2 linked regions of the Lytechinus pictus genome follow. The main gene of each other region encodes a partner of the protein of the gene in region 2 in a complex. Links are inferred from orthologs where the notes say so. Each region holds a gene or a part of one and is shown on either strand. Other genes may lie near its edges.

What was found. Proteins that work in one complex are often made in the same cells at the same time.
Region 1: small nuclear ribonucleoprotein F-like (region 2) and small nuclear ribonucleoprotein-associated protein B'-like share a complex: the UniProt entries of both Homo sapiens proteins name them as parts of the U7 snRNP complex. The link is inferred for Lytechinus pictus from reciprocal best matches to the Homo sapiens genes SNRPF and SNRPB.

Annotation. Positions count from the first base shown.
Region 1 is NC_087246.1:62,255,394-62,266,526, reverse strand, and holds the start of small nuclear ribonucleoprotein-associated protein B'-like, read right to left. Parts: upstream 4,409-11,133; 5' UTR 4,305-4,408; coding exon 4,302-4,304; intron 1-4,301. Other genes in the region: negative elongation factor D-like, read left to right, coding at 4,656-4,703, 10,075-10,223, 10,963-11,072. UniProt on the Homo sapiens protein: Plays a role in pre-mRNA splicing as a core component of the spliceosomal U1, U2, U4 and U5 small nuclear ribonucleoproteins (snRNPs), the building blocks of the spliceosome.
Region 2 is NC_087247.1:76,327,117-76,337,679, reverse strand, and holds the start of small nuclear ribonucleoprotein F-like, read right to left. Parts: upstream 5,531-10,563; 5' UTR 5,491-5,530; coding exon 5,368-5,490; intron 1-5,367. UniProt on the Homo sapiens protein: Plays a role in pre-mRNA splicing as a core component of the spliceosomal U1, U2, U4 and U5 small nuclear ribonucleoproteins (snRNPs), the building blocks of the spliceosome.

The DNA.
Region 1 (11,133 bases), on a different chromosome or scaffold from region 2:
TTTTATTGCAATCAGTCCATTCCAAGGGTAAATCCAGGGGTAAAATCCATGATTTTGACTTCCATATGACCCTCGCTAATTTTGGACTCCAAAAGATCGATGACCGAAAATAATCTCATAAGGGGGAAGTTATTTTTGGCTAAAATGACAGTATGTTTAATCTATCACAAAAAAATCTGCAATGGCCACTGTGGGGTTTCCCCACGGCAAGAAATTTGACACCATTCCAAATATGGCACTCTCCCAAATATCGGACATCTTGGCCGGTTGAATTGGAAATGTGTGCTGTAAAAGCGCACTTGCTTTTCAGAACAGAGGCCCATGAATCTAAGCAAAGATATCCGATTTTTAGAGCCAAAAGCGGTCAGTTTGGTAAGTGAATAATAATTATTTATTGATTTCTATATAAAAATTGATAGAAATAATCAAAATCGGCATTTGCAAACCTGAAATTCAGCAACTATTAGGGGTTTTAGAGCGCAATTGAAATCGCCGAAATTGATCGTGGTGCCAAGCTGCGTGGCGCACACCACTCCTTCCTTGTCCGATATTCGGCAAAAAACTAGCTTCTGATCAGTAGAGGAACTTGTCCATAAATTGGGATTGTCCCCCCAAAAAAATAAAAGAAAAAGATATCCTCTGTCCTCATGTCTTGATAAATTGAGATTGTCCTTGTTTATGGGAACATAGATGGCAATTACAGGGAGTGCTAAAAATAGATTCAGTGACCTCAATGCCCCCCAGTTCAATGTTTACTTTATACGACTTGTCGTCTTCCAATAATCTTGTTATGAAACCTGAATATGTTTACTTGACTAGCGCACTTGATCGGTGTCTGCACTTACATAAACTTTCCTAGATTTCTTGTGTGGAGAAATCTTTCAAACTGAGACAGTCCCTGTAATTGTAAACTGGGACAATCCTAACCCAGGACTCGCCCGTGTATTATTAGGCAGAGGATACTCTCCAAAACGGGGTAGAATGGGGTCGCAATAGCACCCAAATAAAAGGGGAAAAAATGAATTTTTACTACTAATTATTTATAATTACGTATTAAATTTTAGTATTTGTGAAATAATAATTTTTATCTATAAATTGTTCTTCAAAACGGCATCGCTAGTTGGATGTATGTCATCACAAAGCGGTTCAAGGGTCAGGTCTATTGTCTTTGCTTTGTTGACAAACGGATCGAGGGATCTACGGGAGATCGGGTCTGGTAAGAAACGTCTCATTTTTACCATTTATAGTGAAATAATTTTTATCCCTTTATACGCATTAGGCGCCTGAAGGTTCATAGATAAATAAAATTCGACCCTACAAACCGATTTCACCCTCTAGTCTAACTATGGATTTCCTAGGAAAATCCATCTTTGTGTACATGTGTCTCTTATACATATATCAAGGCTCCACATTAACTTTTTTTTGTGGTGGCCCGTTCGGGCCACCAAAATCATCAAATAATTTTTGTTAGTGGCCCGATATTAAAGTTTGGTGGCCCGAAAAATATAAAGAAACACATTAAAAATTAATAAAACAAACTTCTGAAATATTAATTCTGCAGCCACTACGCTTAGTTACTTTCACTTTATCATCTTGTATGTAAACCTTGTTTGCTGTTATTTTACTTTGCTAATTGGCTTGTGGTAAAATATAAATTGTTTCTATCATTGTAAAAATGAAATGATTGAAAGAGAATAAATGAATTTTATTGTTCGCAGGTTGTGTGGACTTTTTTTTTAAATCTCCGTATAGACACACACTCATATTGGTAAAGTAAATAAATAGTGCATAGCAAACTCAGATAGATGTACAAAACAATTGTTTTTCATTTCTTCCTCTTTGAATCCTAAAACCTAGATTATGCAGGCCCCAAATCCAGTTTATTTCTGTTTTCTCTTTTGAAGCATATTATAGCAGGAGAAAATCACATAAATATATGCTGCAAAATTAGAACAATGCATAAAAGGGGGAAACAAATGAAAATAATTTTCAAAAAGTATATTACAAAAAGAAAACAAAAATAATAAAAGAAATAAGTGAAATAAAACAAAAGAAAGAAAATGAAGAAAGAAAAAACAAAGAACAGGGAAAAAAAGAAAAGAAAAAATTTAGAGAGAAAAAAAAAAAGTGAAAGAAAAATGAATAAAACAAACTTAATTTAAACATGGGGAAAAGGGGAAAATTAAGAAGCCATTACGAATATTTTTTAACAGCTGTGGCAACAGTCTATTCTGACTGGAATATAATTAAAAGCCAAGCAAATAATGTTCACTTACCTTCTGGGAATGGCACATTTCTATTTTTATATCCTTTAGTTTATTTTTTTTTCAGTAGAAACATATTTTTTAATCAGGCATATTCAATGGGAAGGGGTATAAATGGTTTAACCACTGTAAAAAAAATGATAGAAAAAAAAATAAGAAGAAAACAGCAAAAGTTATATCTGGAAAAAAAGTGTGAGAAAAGTCCTTCCCTATATTTGCCAAAATGTTGGAAAAATTCACATTTCATATCAATGAAATGCCTTCCCAAAGTATTTACTTTCTCAAGAGTGGTTTAAGAAGTCATTTATAAACAAGAAAGAAAGAAACTGTCTGTTTATTTTTGGCTAGAAAAGACACAGCTTCGAAAGAAACCAAGTATCAACATACATACAAATGCACATGTGGGACTGTGATGTACTTGCCTATGTGTTTTTATGTGTTTTAATTCATTTGGAAATCGGTCTTTTGTAGTCAAAAGAGAGGTCATAATTCCTCTTCTTAATGCTTGCAAATAATCAGGGTACACCAAATTTTCGTAATATAGACTGTAGAATGTCATTTCATTGGTGTAAAATGTGACTTTGACTCAGATTTTCAAAGTTCTGTGGAAGATTTCTTAGCAGCAACATTTTTTATCGGAGCTCCATCTAGAGCACAGCTGTATGCAGTGGCTTCATGCAAAGCTCACGCCAGCCGGCGTGGCTGGCTGGATAATAGCTACTGTATGCTATAGCTGTAGGCCTAATATGCAAACTTTGTGTGTGTGTATTTGTGTGTAGATCAACAAAAAGGGCGCATGACGAATTGGGTTGCAATTTGAACTGTAGAAAGTTGATAAATGCGTGCAAAATCGGGAGAAAAGTTGCGCTTCTTTGAAAATTATTGGTTGTCCGATTCGGGCCACCAAAACTTAACATTTTATCAATAATGGTTGCCCGAGGTGAATTTCTGGTGGCCCCAGGCCACCGCTAATGTCGAGCCTTGCATATATGGACAGGGATTCAAGACTCCACGATGAAGAAATATATGTCAAAATATTAAAAAAAACATCATCATCATGATCATGGAGTCCTCAAGACTACATGTAAGTAGATCCTAAGTAAATAAATTCTGTTTACCATATTCTTCCAATTGTTTTTTATGACATTACTACAATTCAACATTCATACCACAGAAAACATAGATCCTACATGAATTATATTTGATTCAATGATTGTATTTTTGTTTTGGATCAAATGACTGAATAAAATGAACTGAATTGAATATAAATTAAAAAAAATAAAAAGTGTGGATATTTGGGCACTTTACTCTACAAGTTACAACCATTCCCGATCGCGATATTCAGAAACGCAGGGGCATATTGACCTCAAAATGTGACTGAATTTACTTGCCATGACAATTTTGCAAGCAATTTCTGACTCGAAGTCGGCCAGTGTGAAATTGCATTGGCGCCGTAACATCACAAAATTTGTGAAGAATTAGATCAAGTGCAAAGTTCAGTTTCAGATTGTTTTATAATTCTTTACAACACATACAATTTTGAAATTTAGTCCAACAGTTTTTTTTTCAAGCTCCCGAGGCTGAGCTCCACAACTCAAAAGCCAAAACTGGATTAAAATACAATACAATGAATTAATACAAGTTACAAGAATCAAGATCAGAAGATACCAAAATTCTTTCTAACAGTAACATTAACAAAGTTAACGTGGAGCTCTGCGTTCCGTATCTGGCTTGAATTGGCCAAGTAAGGTAAGGAATGCAGAGCTCTACGATTTAGAGCCATATTAAGTTGAAAAACAACAACAGCTAATTTGTTTTCAACGACTTCACAAGTCTCTATGAAAGCCGAATCAATGCCATTTTTAGTTTCAAAGAGAAAACCGAAACATACACAGATATGTACATGTGGGACACCGTTTTCGAATACACACATCCCCGCAATAAGTCACAAATTGTGAGCTTCATTAGATAAATTAAAATAAATCGTAATACATTTCATCGCATATATGTATATTATTCATATAAATATATAGTTACCATTTTGAAAGATTGTTATAGCCCCGATGTAGAAGGATATTGACTGCTTTCGTCGACCGTCACAAACATTCGCGAAACGACACGCTCAGCTAGCTGGCTCGAGCAGCGCGAGCATATATGCAAATATATGACGCCAAACAGCACGCGCGGCGCAATACGGAAATTAAACCAATTACAGAGTCCGTCTCAGACCCCATCTTTGTCAAGTGGGAATTTACAGACGATTTGATTGGTCCTTAAGCACAACAAAGATGGCAGCGCCCATGGCCATACTTTTCTACGTTGTCGATGTCTTGCATTAGGACTCTATAGGAGACTATTTTATCAGTTCTAACTTCATCTCTTGAATTGAAAATGGATGAAGACGAATATGGAGATGTTGACTGGAACTATGACCAGGCTGTACGTATGCTTAGTAATTCTTTTTAGCATTGTCTCATTTGTCTGGGTTGGGCGCCAACTGCACTCCGTCTCCATACCAGCCGGCGGGCGCGCCGGGCCCGCGGACTTTGCCCGTGCCTGCGCCCGTTCTGCCTGGCTATGGCTATGCCTATGGCTATGCCGCTGTTCGGTAAACGCGGTAGCAGTGCCAGTGCTGAGGGTTACGATACCTCGTCCTCGGGCGAAGTTCGTGCAGGCTCCACTTCACTACCACTGACCACTACGCTACGAGCGTAGTGGAGCGGAGCCTGCATGAACTTCGCCCGAGGTAAGGTCGGATTACCAGTGGCAGTGCTGAACTTAGACAGCTGGCAGCCCTCTGTTTCGAGGAGTTTTCTGACACTTTTAAAATTATTTTTTTTAATTTCTCCTTATTATACACAAACGGCTTGCTATCCACTCTAGGCGACACCCCAATACTTACCCGTGCTAATAAACTGGGACTCCACTCACGCGCATTTGGGCCGCCCTAGCTTAGAACTAAGCTTTGTTTTACTAAAAAATAAATCTTGTAATGATTCAATAAATGTTACTTAATAAATTAGTACTGTTAAATCGGTACTCACCGGTTCTTTTCTTGAATTTTCTGGCAATTTCCCACGCTTCTGGCTTCAATTCTGCGGCTGTTCCTGTCGCGGTAGACAACTACATATGCAACTTTATTTATAAATAGAGCGCCCCTTACGATAGTTGTTAAGAACGCGGCCAAATTGTTAGGTTTTTTGCACTGTGTCCAAGGCGTTTTTATTTTGTTTGATTTTTTATTTTTAATAAATATTTTGTTAAATAGCGATTTTTACGTCAAATATTAAATTCATATCACAAAATATTTTTTATTGTAGAAATATATATAATATCATGCAATTATTCATTCTATATATATTTTATAATAAAATTTATAATTGTTGCGGTCTTTAAAAAAGGATAGTCGATTGATCAGGTGATGACCACATGTATCACGTGATCTGAAAATCAGCTTCATACCGCTTTGATCGCACTCGACATTGACCGGACTGACTGCCAAAAAAAGATCGAAAAATGACTCAAATGTAAGTTTCCCTTTATTTTATTAAATTCAAATTAGGAATAGGAATATATTTAATGGGCAATCTTTTAATAAATGATAAACAAACGAGGACAAAACTCATATTTTGGGAGTAATATACTTGGGTGCAGGAAACAGTACGTTTAGAAGTTCTAACCTGTTTTTAACGCATTGTCGCCTATGAGGTCCATACATGTTAATGTTTGGACCTCATTGGTACTAGGAGTGTAGACAGGAATAACCGTCGTTTCTGGGGATTTATTCAACAATTTCTGACATTTTACTGTAATCCCCATTTACCGACGGTAGGGTGTACGTGTGGGCTCGCATGTGTTCTCATTCCCTCCCTTTTGTCAATTCACAGTCCAAAGTTTGATGTAATTTTACACATCGAATTTACAATCTAAGGATGTATAAACAACAAACTTTTAATTGATGATATTCTAACATTTAAATACTTTAAACGATATAGATGAAAAAGGCATGAAAAATATACTTTACCGATGTTTAATTGGGTTGAACACGATAAAAATGGTCAAAATGGCAGCCAAACTATAAAATATTTACAAACGAACGTCAACAATCACGAATGTGATATCGATATTGCTTTCGATATTATACGATCTGCTCCATATGCGATCGAAACCGAAGATAAACGATACTAGTTATACTAGTACTAGTACTAGTTATAATCGCGATATATCGATTCGAGACATTAAGTTAATAACGATAATGACGTCATTCAAGATGGCAACTTGCAAGAAAAACCGTCAGGTCAGGTGAAAATGTCTTAGATGACAGATTTCTCAATCATCCAGAGGATTTTTTTCAATAACTCCGGCCCAAGGTATGCAATTACTTAATTTATTTATACTTCCCTGATAATGGAAACCATGAAACTTTCAATTTTGCTTAAAAAACAGTTTTAAATCGCGATCTATAAAACGCTAGTTCACTATACGTTGGCTGTAGGTACGGGGCCCCACCCCCTTCAGTCTATGTATGGTGAGTGGAGCCAACGTAGTTCAGCGGAACAACCAAAATACAGAGACTGAAGCTTTTGGTCTACTAGGAGTGTTGCTATCGTGCAGCCACCATAAGGGCACTCTAGGCGACACCCCAATACTTACCCGTGCTAATAAACTGGGACTCCACTCACGCGCATTTGGGCCGCCCTAGCTTAGAACTAAGCAATATTATCTAGAAATTGTTACATTGTAGTCATTAAATATGTTCTATTAAATAAATTGATAATGTTTAATCGGTACTCACCGGTTCTTTTGTTGCATTTTCAGACCATTTCTCACAATTCTTCGTAAATATTTGCGGCAAATTTTGTCGCCATAGACAGCTTAGCATCCATCTTTATTGATAAATGGAGCGCCCTTTACGATAGTTGTTAATGCCGCGGAGAAATCGTTAGGCATTTTGGCCTGTGTTCAAGGCGTTCTTTCTGTTTTATTTTTTATATTGAAGATTGTGCATTTGTTGAATAGCGCCGTCTACGTCAGGTATGAGATCGAGTGTATAATTATAAATACACTCTTCCAAAATAATTATGATTCCGACCTGGCGCTGTTTAACTTCAATCTCTTTCACCTAAATTAGCGATGAATGCTAGCATTATAAAATATATATTATTAACGTCTGACGAAAAGAATAACCAACCGATCAGCTGACGAGAACGCGAATCACGTGATCTTCATATCAGCTTCGATCGCGAGTCAGAAGAGAAGAGCAGCTGCCCAGAAAATCAGGAAAAAGCCGTGAAAATGTAAGTTCCCCTTCATTTCTTTCATTTTTTTTTGTTGCTAACGATGCATTTACACTATAAAATTATAATTTAAATAAGAGAAAGGAATATAGCTTGTACTTGTGATATAACATATAAATATCCTGTTCTCAGAGATTTCTAACCAAAAATACTACTGATGTCGCCTATGAGGTCCATACATGTAATGTTGGACCTCATTGGTACTAGGAGTGCCATAAGGGTAGCCAGGCGGCTTCTTGAGAGTAAAAATCATTGTCGTAGGCTTACTCTAAACGAAGCCAGGGAGTCCTTCCTATTCATCTGCGTGTACCGCAAAAAACCCTGAAACTTTCGCCCCCGAGATTTCTACTTTCCTTCTAAAAGATTTAGCTCTAAATCATGTACATGGGATAAAACTTCATTTCCGACATTTCTACGCTCTTGTTGTTATTTTTAAACAAGAATTTATCCAAAAAATGAAAAAATATTGTGAAAAGACGGAAGAGACTTGACGCTCGCGTCCGTAACGTTGGGGAAGTACAATAAGAAACAAGATGGCGGCGTAAACATCGGGCAAGTCTCTTCCGTCTTTTCACAATATTTTTTCATTTTTTTGGATGAATTCTTGTTTAAAAATAACAACGAGAGCATAGAATGATTTAGAGCTAGATCTTTTAGAACTAGAAGGAAAGTACATCTCGGGGGCGAAAGTTTCAGGGTTTTTTGCGGTACACGCAGATGAATAGGAAGGACTCCCTGGCTTCGTTTAGAGTAAGCCTTCGTTAGTAAATGATTTTTACTCTCAAGAAGCCGCCTGGCTACATAGGGGGTTAGCACTCATTCTATGATTTTTTATGAACAAGGTTATGGGTAGCCTGGAGCAAAAGTCATCTACTAACGTAGCCTCGTAGGCTTACTCCCCAATGAACAGTAGAGGCGCACAGCCAATATGGGAGACTCTCCAAGTCCAATATGGGAGACAATCTCCACTATTGGAGACTTGCTTTGCAAAAGAACAAATACAACACCAACAAAAGCGTAATTTTTTCCTCCCAAAATTTTGTCTCACTAAGGTCAGAAGCCCATTTGTTTTGTGTGTGGATGACAACAAAAATCCTTATCAAAACAAAAGTAGACGGTGAAAAAGGGTAATTTTTCATGAGGAATAGATCGAATCAAGGCCCATTTCAAAACATTGCATGCAACGAACGTAGAGGGCAGCAACACACATCAGTGTTGCTATTACTTAGGATCAAGGTCCACTCGATACGCGCATACAATGTTTTGAAATAGGCCGTGAATAATATGTGTGAGGAATTTGATACTGGCCCAAAATCACCAATTTTGAGGATAACTGGAGGATGGACACAGTGAAATAAGGGTGAATAGTAAGAAATTAAGCTTTTTTTTTTTTTTTTTTTTTTTTTTTTTATCCCACCTTTGCCTCTAGTGGTATCCGAAAGAGTTCACGGTCCCGAAGTTCGGGTAGGTGGAGCGTAGTGTAGCGGTAGTGGAGTGGAGCCTGCACGAACTTTGCCCGAGGTAGGGGGGTTAATGCAAAATCCCCCCGACAGTCACAGGGCTCATCAAATTTTGTCTTTAAGACTTTATTTCATAAAAATATGTTATGTAAAAAGAACTGTACCAAAATAAAGATTATTATTCCGTTTGGCCTCAAATGCACCAAAACGGGGAAAAATAAACTTAAAAGAAGAAAAAACAGTGATTTCGGCTGTCGCGCAACTTCACTTCCCTGTTTTATCCAAACTTAATACATAAACATATGGCCATTTACCTCGGGCGAAGTTCGTGCAGGCTCCACTTCACTACCGCTACACTACACTCCACCTACCCGAACTTCGGGACCGTGAACTCTTTCGGATACCACTAGAGGCAAAGGTGGGATAAAAAGTTATTTATTGTGAAAATTATAGAAAAAAAATATAACGAGAAAGAAAAATAGCTTAATTTCTTACTCTACACCCGTATTTCACTCCGTGTCCATCCTCTGGTTATCCTCAAAATTGGTGATTTTGGGCCAGTATCTAATTCCTCACACGTATTATTCACGGCCGATTTCAAAACATCGCATGCGATCGGTTGCAGGTCGAACAGCATAAATATTTATATTATATTGGATGGCTCAGAAAATACCAGAAATATTCTAAGAGTTAGGGAAAATATTCCACGAATTCATTAAAATATTACTTTTGTAACCAATTCATTTCCCCATGGCTACAGTTGCAATTTAATTTTCATTTAAACTTGTATTCACCAGACAAGAACGCTAAAAAACTTGAATTTTGGCATATTTTTGTGGAAAGTAAAATTGCAAGAAAATTGTCCTCCAACAATCTCTATTTCTAAGTTAGAAAAAATGATTTAAAGAATTCAATTTACTTAAGAGCCAAGTTATATAATGAATAGTTGTATTGGAAACTGACTCTATAGACAGAGTAAATAAAAATCAGACAGAAGCTGTAGACCTGTATGGGTTTAATCAATGAATGTGTATTATTATTCCTCTTGTGCAGGAAGCCCCAGTGGATGAGGATGAAGAGGAAGAAGAAGATGAGGACCCTGATAGATACAAAGAGAATGAAGACATCCAGAAAGAATGTCTGGAAGCCTTTGCTAGTACAGATTACATTATGGAACCTGGTGTCTTCAAAGATCTCAAGAGGTAAATAGTATAGATATTAAGATTCTATTTTCTTGTTCAAATAGGTTATAATAATAATAATAATATAGGTATATTTACCCAGGGTAGCCACTTCAGTTTCGAAAACTGTTCTAGCAGCAGGCCCTGCTATTATTATTACCCCGGCTTTAGCTGAGCTGCCTAGGCGCTCAAGCATTCAAGGAATTTCTTCCTACCGGTACCCATTCACCTCACCTGGGTTGAGTGCAGCAAAATAGGTTTTTTCAAATAGGTTTTTTTTTAGGAAGGCTGCTTCATAACTGATGAGTAGACAAATGATCTTTCCCCCACGGTTTGGGAATCTTTGGGGGTAACGAGAGAACTGGAAGTGGAGGAACTTTGATCTTGAAGGGGTATAGCTCTTAATTAATGAAATGAGGTACTGGGGCAAGACCCATGCACACAATGGAAAGTTAACGACAAAATCTTTAAAGTGATACATTGTTTTACAGTGTAAGAATTGCAAAAAGGAGTAATATGAGTGCACCTGGTGGGTAGAGAAACATGTGAGCCAGCAGTTTGAAGTTTGTGGAGTTTGAATAACTTATTCTGGGGAGGATTGAACCAAGAGAGTTACCAAAATTGAGACGGAAAGCAATTAAGCACGGGCCAATTTTTCTGTAGCAGATCAAGACAAGTATTTTCTAATAAACCTAGTATTATCTTAGTCAAGCTCACCATTAGTGTTTCTGTGGTTGCTCCTCTCTATTGATATCTGTAGGTATTTTAAAGCAGGAGGAGGCCCAGAACAGGTTGTTGTTTTGTTGTCAGAGAACTACACTGCTGTAGCACAGACTGTTAATCTCCTTGCAGAGTGGCTTATATTCACAGGTATGTGACGTATCAGGGATGTATTTGTTGGTGAATGTACCAGTGTTGATGGATATTGTTG
Region 2 (10,563 bases):
ACACCATGGCTGGGATTTGAACCCATAACCCTCTGTTTCAAAGTCAGAAGACTTATCCACTGGGCCACAAAGCCCCCCACATTAAAAGTCAACTTCAATACTTTTTACCTTGAATTACATTGATATTAGGCATAAAGTATATAGGGACAGTGATTTTCCCTTTCAAAAAATTGCCGATTCCGTTTCAGAAAATCTCAAATTCCGTTTCAGCATGTCAGAAAACGGAAATTCCGTTTCCCCATAGACTTTGTACACACGGAAAAGTGACAATTCCGTTTACACATTGAATAGCAAAATCACAACACGTACACTCGCACTGGTCAAAACTTGTATCTGCTACTGTACCAACAACACAATAGAATCCGTTCCAATCGAATTTATGCGGGTGCATAAAATATTTTTACAAACCCATTTAGCATGCATACATCCTCACCTTTCACATTATTAGCATTATTTCACGGTGAAATGATATTTCATCGATAATTTTGGGGTTTTTTGGACATCGTTATCATCAGTCAACGACTTTTGCCAATCCGCCATCTTGGATTTTAAGACCCCGATATCGTGCTGTTACATCTTCAAACGTAGAGGGCAGCAACACACGACCGTGTAGTTGAACGATATGTGTGCATGTGAAGCCCAACCTTGAGCCCAACCCGGCCGGCCGGGTACGGTGCGGGGTACAATCGAGTGTGCTGATGTCGATGTAACGATGTGTGAATTGTCATGATAGTAGCGAAGTGAGATCGTGTTTTCTGGGGTTTTGTGGCCATTCAATATTCTCATTTTGTTGTGATTTTGGAGTAATTTCTGTTGCTATTCTGTGTATTTTGAGGGAAAATACGTTTTCCGTGATTTTACGTTTGATATGCCACTTTCCGTTTCAAAAGGCCCTTTCCGTGAATTCCCTCCGTTTTCCGCGATCGCGGAAAATCACTGTCCCTAAGTATACAGGACTTTATATCTGCCCCTCAACATCCACTCTCAACTTGTCCTCAGCCAATGTCAACAATTATAGCGGTATGCATGTAAGTTTGGATGCCTTATGAGAATTCTGTGTCTAGGTCAAAATGGTTAACTCTGGTTTTCGAGGCCTTCTCTAGGTTAGATTTGTATTAAATCAAATATCACATATTTCTTTAATTAATAGTAATAATACATGGGATTTGTATAGCGCACTTTCCATCTTGATTAGATGCTCAAGGCACTTCAGAGCAGAACAACAACAAAAGCTACTTGCATAAAATACATGTCTGAATAATAAGTCAATGTCTATCAAAAAGCACTCTGAAACAGGTACATGTTTTCACGTTGCCCTTGAAAGTGGTCACTGAAGTCTAAGTTTTCAAACTCTGTGGGAAAATTCCACAGGTTAGGCCCTGCATGAACAAAGGCCCGTTCCCCGCATGATTTCTTAGCAACTGGAATTTGGAAGAGATTAAGAGATAATGAGGATCGTAAGGTTCTTGAAGGTTGGTAATTATGCATCAAAGACTAACTGGGGGAAGTTACATGGACTATTAAAAAAAAAATCAAAAGAAGGGTCTTAAAGACTATGCGTTCCTTCAGGGGCAACCAAATAATGAACACTGTGCTAGAAGAGTCGGTTACACTTTGACTTCGTAATTCTGAAGGTTCGTAATTCCGAAACACGTAAATTGCCTATACCTCGATGTTCGTTAATCCGAAAACGAAAAAGGGTTCGTTAATCCGAACATTTGTGGCGTAATTTTGAAGGTTCGTTAATCCGAAAAGGAAATGAGAGTCGTAATTCCGAAGGTTCGTTAGTCCGAAAACAAAATAAAGCTCGTAATTCCAAAGGTTCGTTAGTCCGAAAACGAAATGAACAACGAACCTCATTTCGTTTTCGGATTGTCGAACCTTCGGAACATCGAACCTCATTTCGCTTTCGGATTAACGATCCTTCGGAATATCCGAACCTTCGGAATTACGAATGTATACGGAAGAGTCCATGGATATACCACACAGAGGTCCACAAGACCGAGTGCGGTGTATCCTTTTGGCGAGTCGAGCACAGAGTTCATTATTTAGGTCCTCTCTGCACAAGAATGTGTGTATTGTTTGTTTTATATGACCCCCCCCCCCTCACCCATATTACTGAGTTGCCCCGAATGCTATATTTGATCTAATTTCTAGAAAATTCTTGATAATTCCAGAACTCGCACTATCCTGCACTTTGACGTCAGAGTGCAGGATAGTGCATTTTGGATGCAATAGTGCGATTCGCTGAATATCATGTGATCCGTTTTGGACCAATCAGATTACAGAACATTCTTGGGCGTTGAATAACACCAGAAGGGACTCCATAGATTTAAGTATAAAATAAAAACTTTTTTTTTTATTAGTGATTGTGCACAATAAGAATTTCACACAAAATGTTTTTTTAAATCCATTTTGAAAGCTTCGGTCTCGTCTTTGATTGAATTGTTATCAATTTCAGATATTTATAAACATGAATATATTATTTTCTTCATAAAATGAGAGGACATTTGAAGCTAAACTTGTACAAAAGTGGTTGAATTACGGATTGCCATAATCGATTGTGATTTTAATCGGTCCAAATCGTTTTGTATTTAATAAAGACATAAATTCCCTCCTCCTATGCATCACAAATAGTTTGTCTTATTGGCAATGACCTTGAAAAAAGTAAGACAAATTAATTAATACTAAATCATCCAAGTACTCATTATGGACTACCGATACTGCAAATTATCAACATGATCAGGCATTCATTCTGTGAAAACATCAATTTGGAAATGTGTTGTAAATCTCACAGGTTTTGCCAATTTTTATGGCATTTACAGCTATTTTTAGATCAATGTCAAGGTCAAAAGATAAATATGTGACTTTATGTATTATTTGGAGCTTAAAAAAGAACCAGAAAGGAACAAGATTTGCAATTATCAGCTTAAAGTCACTGTTAGTATTGAAATAACACAAACTGTTACCAGGCTTTAAAAAAATAGGCTTTCTTGTGCTTTTCACTGGCCTCAAAGCCGTGACAGTTGTACAGCCCCGAATGCTATATTTCTTCTAAATTCTAGATACATGTAATTTTGATAATTCCAATTTCTAGAACTCGCACTATCCTGCACTCTGATGTGACCTGAAACACACACAAGATATTCAGGGATACATGGTTACTCTCATGTTCCAAGTTTCCATGAACTAGATCTATTAACTTTTTAAAGTTATGATGACAATTCCTAACATACCCCCAACATTATCAAAGTTTGTTCCATATATTTTCATAAGTTATGACATTTCAAAAACTTAACCTTGGTTAAGATTTCAATGTTGACGACACCGCCGTCCCTGTTGGAAAAGCGGCACCTAGTCTCACTCTGCTATGCAGGCGAGACAATAAGAGATGAAGGAATAAGGGTAGAAATAGAATTTTAAAGAACAGAAGAGATAACAAAATTCAAAGCATGTTCCCAATCGCGTTAAGTTGAAACAGGAAGTCGAATCAACCTATTCTCAGCTGCTTTTATATTGGTTAAATTCATATCCTAAATTTGAAATATTTTTCCATTGTCAATATTTTCTATTTCCGTAGTAGTATCAGCACCCCAGCCTGCTAGCGTTTGCTGACGGCCCGCTCATTTTGCCGAAGTCCTGCTGCTTCAATTTCTCTTGTCAAGTGCTCGCCTATATGTATGAATGATCTCATCATTTCAGATTTATATCGGATTAAAATTTTACTTTCTCAGCTCAGGATACGAATAATTTTTACAGTCATGAAGTACTGATTTGTTCATAGTGGCACACCAAATTTGAACTTATTTTTTAAAGTAGAGTGATTCGCTAATCAATGACTTTGTCACGGAAAGAAGCAAACATGACTAGATCTAGAGCTGGAATTGTACAGGACACTAGCCGCAGAGTTGTTTGCTGAGGCCCGCTATATGGACGAAGATCGCTTTTTTAATTAATTAAACTGTGAGACTGTTCATAATATCAAACAAATTTGGAACTAATTTTGGAAGAGGACTGATCAGGAGTTGGTTACTGAATTACTTTTGTCAATTTTTTTATATTGACTTTCAGACTTTATATATCTAGACATACATGTATGTCAACCAGGCCTAGGAATAACTACAGTCAGTAGAACTGTATCAATTTTTTTTTTTTGGTACAGTTTGCCAACTCCAAAAATACCTAGAAATTGTCATCAAAAGTATGCTTCAAATTGCACCATTTGACATACAAAATTAAAAAAGCGTCAGGCCAGACTGTGGGAGAGGAGACACCCCCCTCTCACACCCATCCGCCGCACGATCGCTCTGCTCCCTCGATTGTTGCAACAAAATATTTTCTTTTCTTTTTTCTACCCCACTCACATGCCTGTCTTTATTTTGTTTATCCAAGTTTACATACCGTAGACCATATGAAATTGAAACAATAATGTTGCTACGCTTGTTTTTTTTTTCAATTTTTGTGAAGTAAATCATTTTATGTTGGAAGCATAACCCCCCCTCCCCCCTCCCAATAAAAGAATGCCATGTTTCTTAGCAATAATGATAGTCGTATTATCATGTTTATGAATATATTTACAGTTGGAAGAAAAATTGAACTAAAGTAAAAAAAAAAAATAAAAAATAAAAATTGTCATGCTCTTCAGTATTTTATTGTGAAGTTTGTCATGTATCAAGTGTAAAAATTTCCACACCGCAAAATTTTCCACTTTTACAGTAGTCTATAACTATAAGCAACAATTTTCATAACCATTCTTTATAGAAACAAAATTCATTATAAATATATGACAGACCTTCGTTGTGACAAACTGGCTGAGGGTTCGCAAATGGCGATCCATTATTTTATAGTTTCGAACCAAAGTTCTGAAAAAAATTGCAGAACCAAACTCGAACATGCTGCCTGACTTAGCAGCACTATTTTCATGAGAGTCGTTCATTGAGAATGACGAGAAAAAACGCAGAGGAGAATAGAATACAAGCAGAATATTACACTTTACAAGGAGATTGCATTGGATTTGACATGAAATATATTAATTTTTTTTACTATTCTTCTTGACTAAATAATTGGCAAATTGAAATACAGAACTTTTTGTGTACATTGTTTGAGTATACATATCTGCTCAAATTTTTTTCTAAAAAAGTTATTCAAATGCATTAAAATGATAAATAATTGTATAAAATTGGGGAAGAACTTTGGGCTTTAAGAAGCATAAACAAGACATTAAATAAGTACTGTATGTAATAATATTTTTTCCTGTCTCATGTCAAGTTGAATGAGTCTAGCCTGGCTTCATGTTAATAATTGATCAATAGATATGTCTATGGCTATGACTGTCTATTTTAAAGTTAACATTAATATTTAACTTACCTGAACATTCATGTAACCATCAACAGATACTAAGTAGCCCTTGTACTCCATTCCCCATTTGAGACGAACCATCACAGGCTTTCCAGTGAGTCCATTTAAAAATGGCTTGGGATTCAGTGGCATTCCCTGTATACATATAGTAGTAAAAAAATTCAAATTTAAAGCTCAAGAATATTTGCCATTGCTTGGAGTGTAACACGCCTACATGTACTTTAGACCAAACCCAATATTTGCCCACCTATCATATGATCATAGCCAGTTAGCACATTTATTCACCATAAAGTATGGTAATCACAAGAAAATACTCTCAAAGCCCGAGTCATAAAGTCAAAAACTTTCCTCACAATCCTAATATCACCATTAGCATAGAATACCGGTACCATTTCCATGACCATGCAGAGATAAATCTACAGTGCATTTCTACGTTGACTGTCACATCATCAAGGAATTACATCAGTCACCTACAGTGTTAAACTTACTCCTGATGCCATGGCCGCCTAGACGATCGTGATGAATGTGCAGTTTGTCATTGAATTCTTGTCAATTTGGGGGTTACTTAGGGGTATTCCCCGACTCTTTCTTTAGAATTTATCATACATGTACATACCGACACACTAAGCTATCTGCACATTAATGAAGAAACAAATTTCAAGATGAATTTGCTTATTAATATTCAAACTATTGAGAGTTATTATTGGAAATTTCACTTCCAGAAACTGTATACATGTAGGCCTATCCACTAACTTTTATTCAGAAAATGACATTTCATCATTTACCAATTACGGCTAAATTATTGAATAGCAAATTATGATTTGGGGGGGGGTGATGACGTGAGAATTTATTGTCAACGTCATGTCAACGTTTAAATTGTCCCATGTGCGAGTCTTGTAACAGCGCGAGAACTAGTTAAGTGTTTTGCATAAAACAATATAGAGGTTTCGGCGCAGAAATCGAAAAATCTCTTAGGCTACTAAATCTATTGAAAATCAACGGGTCTCAGTGTGTAGTGAAATTCAGGTACCACATACTTTATGACTCCGGAGTCAGCATTCACGATATGGCCCAATTATTGCAGATGCCGAACAAACAAGTTTGCATGTTAAACTCCAAAAGCCTCCAAGACCAAATTCGGACCACTCTACCTCTGTGAAAACATTTCATAACCTTAATTCAGCTTGTGGATAGTTCCCTGTGTTTATATTCTTTGTACACTACATACAGCAATGCAAAATGAGAAGATAAACTATTTTGGAATTAAAAAATTCCTAAGTTAGCCATCATAAAATATAATGAATTATATGGTCGCTAGTGCTGTTGTCGATAGGCCTCATATCGACATTGATGTCGCCATACAAAGGAATTTCAAAATTCTGACATGTCGACATGCACGCACCCACATCGACATGTAAACATAAAATAAAAAGAGGTCTAGCCTTAAGTCACGAGTGTAAAGCTTAGCTGAAAAGTTAGAAGCATTTATCCACAGTAATTGGCGCGATTAAAAGGTTTATTCAGCTTAGCAGCGCATTAAATGAAAAAAGAATACCTGCGAGCTGCGTAGCAGCAGAAATAAGTCAGTGCGGGGCCGGCCTGCCCGATCAAGCCGCCCTCGATCCTGACTATCTCTCTAGATCTATATGTAGCGCTATAGCGAGAGTAGCGTAGCATTCACCGTACCCATCGCTATTCACCGTGCTTGATAATACGTTGCTCCTCAATCCATTACTTTTCACATAAACGTGAGCAGCAGCGTTTTTGTCAAAGTTGTGACCGCCGTAATTGAGAGCTTACTTCATATCACGAAGTCAAAGAAAACTTCCCTTTCTTTGTTTGGAGATCGTTGCACGGATCGCCGCGGAAGTGATACTGAAATTATCGGTCAATTTTCATTATTTTTTATTGTCAATTTGAGGTGCTTGCATTTGCAGCACATGTGTACTAGCGTATATTATGCAATGATCACTGTTGTAATTGGTGATTCTCAAATTGGCACCGAGTGTTGCGCAATGCTTTCGAGACCGGATCGTGGTACAAAAACTTGATTCTTCAGAAAAAATGTGGATTACATCAGTGATTTTGGAAGTGAATTCACTCTAGCTTAGTGAAAATATGTTTTCCCGAACTGAGCCTGTATTTTATCGATCTTGAGTTAGTGTGCGCATGGGATATCACTCGTGTCAAGGTTAATACATTTGATTGAGAGTGTAAATGTTATGTTCCACGATCGAATGATTTTTTTCATGTTATGTTAGGGAGCCTAGGCTAAATTACGGTCCCTTTTTCATGTCGACATTGTCGATGTCAGGATTAATTTTCAAGCGACATGTCGACATGGATTTTTGTTCCCAACAACAGCACTTATGGTCGCATTTCATAAGTTGGGTATGCAAAAAGGGTGGTGGATGAACAATTTTCAAAATGGTGCCATGGAAGAATTGTTGCTACATGTACATCACAGCATCTTGACCAAATTTATTGAGCAAGATCTCATTTTGAAGCTAGAAATATATGCTAAATATATTACTATAAATTTTACAATATCAGGAGCAACAAGAGTGTCACTAAGGCACAGAATATGGTGTTATTGACCTTAACTGACCTTTGACCTTGGTTTTGTGACCTGAAACTCACAGGGGATGTTTAGTGATACTTAATTACTCTTATATCCCAAGTTTTATGAAATAGATCCATAAACTTCAGAGTTAGGATGGTAATTCAACAAATACCCCCAACACGGCAAAAGTTCATTGACCTTAAATGACCTTTGACCATGGTCATGTGACCTGAAACTCGTACAAGATGTTCAGTGATACTCGATTACTCTTATGTCCAAGTTTTATGAACTAGATCCATAAACCTTCAGAGTTAGGATGGTAATTTAACAAAGACTCCCAACACGGCTAAAGTTCATTGACCTTAAATGACCATTGACCATGGTCATGTGACCTGAAACTTGCACAGGATATTCAGTGGTACTTGATTAACCTAATGTCCAAGTTTCATGAACTAGATCCATAAATTTTCAAAGTTATGAAGGTAATTCAACAAATACCCCCAACTTGGCCAAAGTTCATTGACCCTAAATGACCTTGGCCATGTGACCTGAAACTCAGGCAGGATGTTCACTAATACTTGATTAACCTTATGTCCCAGTTTCATGAACTAGATCCATAAATTTTCAAAGTTATGATAGTAATTCACAGGCATGAAAATTGGGTATGAAAAAAAAAGCTGAAAGGGTTTAGGAAATGTCGTTGACAAGACGGTGGGCGAAGCCCACCGGGCGAGCGGCTTGCCGCTCGCTGCTAACGGGTGGGGTCCAGGGGGCAACGCCCCCGGAAGCTCCTGGGTTTTATCAATTTTACAACTCCAAAAACCTGTTTGAGTTGAATGATTGTAATGAAGTATTTATATGGATTTTTTGTCCAAAATTCAATAAAAAAAAACTAAAAAATACTAAAAAATAGCAATAGCACTTCCCTGGTTTATCAAGTTTCCTGATCACTTCAAGCAGGTTGTATGAAGAATTGTCGGGTCCTCTCACCTCCACCTCTAACCAACTCCATCGCCACATATTAGCAAGTCCACGGTCAATTTCATGAACATCTTTTGAAAGTCTATCCACAACATCTGTGCGGTCACAAGTTAGTCCCCCACAAAATGCCATTTTTCTTGATTCGTTATTACAACAACAAGAAAAAACAAAATTCTTGGATTTCCAGCAAATTAATATTCGCGAATTATAAATGCGTCATGAAAATTCCATGTCACGTCACAAATCTCTGCGAGCACATTCAGCTTCTTTATCGGTCTTCCACCGGTCCGATATGATATGCGCGCCCGGTCGCTGCATGCCCGGCGCGCCGGGTTGCCCCCAGCGATTGCAAGCACACCACCGCTGCACTGCATGCACAGAAACGTAAAACACACCGCGAAATACACGTGTAGAGTTGAGATGTGCTAGATAAGAGATTCCTGCGCAATCGTTGTAAAGGCCAAACGTCATATAACACGTAAGATATGCTAAACCATTTAAGCGCTAAAAATCGGAAATTAAAACGCGGATTTTAGGAGTAAAAAAATGGAAATTCAGCAAACAAAAAACGCGGAAATCCGCGGAAACGCGGAGAATTTTCATGCCTGAATTCAACAAAAAAACCCAACTTGACCAAAGTTCATTGACCCTAAATGACCTTTGACCTTGGTCATGTGACCTGAAACTCAAGCAGGATGTTCACTAATACTTGATTAACCTTATGCCCAAGTTTCATGAACTAGGTCCATATACTTTCTATGTTATGATGTCATTTCAAAAACTTAACCTTCGGTTAAGATTTTGAAAATAATTCTCCCAACATGGTCTAGGTTCATTGACCCTAAATGACCTTTGACCTTAGTCATGTGACCTGAAACTCAAGCAGGATGTTCAGTAATACTTGATTAACCTTATGTCTAAGTTTCATGAACTAGGTCCATATACTTTCTAAGTTATGATGTCATTTCAAAAACTTAACATTAGGTTAAGATTTGATGTTGACGCCGCCGCCGCCGTCGGAAAAGCGGCGCCTATAGTCTCGCTCTGCTATGCAGGCAAGACAAAAACGGATGTGTCATGTTAAAAAAAATTGCTTACTGACTACTTTTCTGAAAAAACAAGGCAAAAGCGCTTTTGTCACGGCCGATTTCAAAACATTGCATGCGATCGGCGCAACCGATCGTATGCGATGTTTTTAAATCGGCCGTGAGTAATACGTGTGAGGAAACTGATATTGGCCCAAAATCACCAACTTTGAGGATAACCAGAGGATGGACACGGAGTGAAATACGGGTGTAGAATAAGATATCAAGTTATTCATCTTTGTCGTTATATTTTTTTTCTTTAATTTTTACAATAAACATGATTGTCATCCCACCTTTGTGACTCGGTATATCCGAATTGGTTCACCGTCCCGAAGTTCGGGTAGGTGGAGCGTAGTGTAGCGGTAGTGAAGTGGAGTGGAGCCTGCACGAACTTCGCCCAAAGTAATTGAACCCTAGACCTCTCAGGGGCTATCTAAATAAACTTCCCCCCTATACATGTATAATGTATATTGCCTATTCATTGGATATTTCACCATTTTGACCTTTTGGATCACCCATTAAGTCAAAAGCGCATTTCTACTATAATACTAGTACAGCCAATTTTATTTTCTTGTA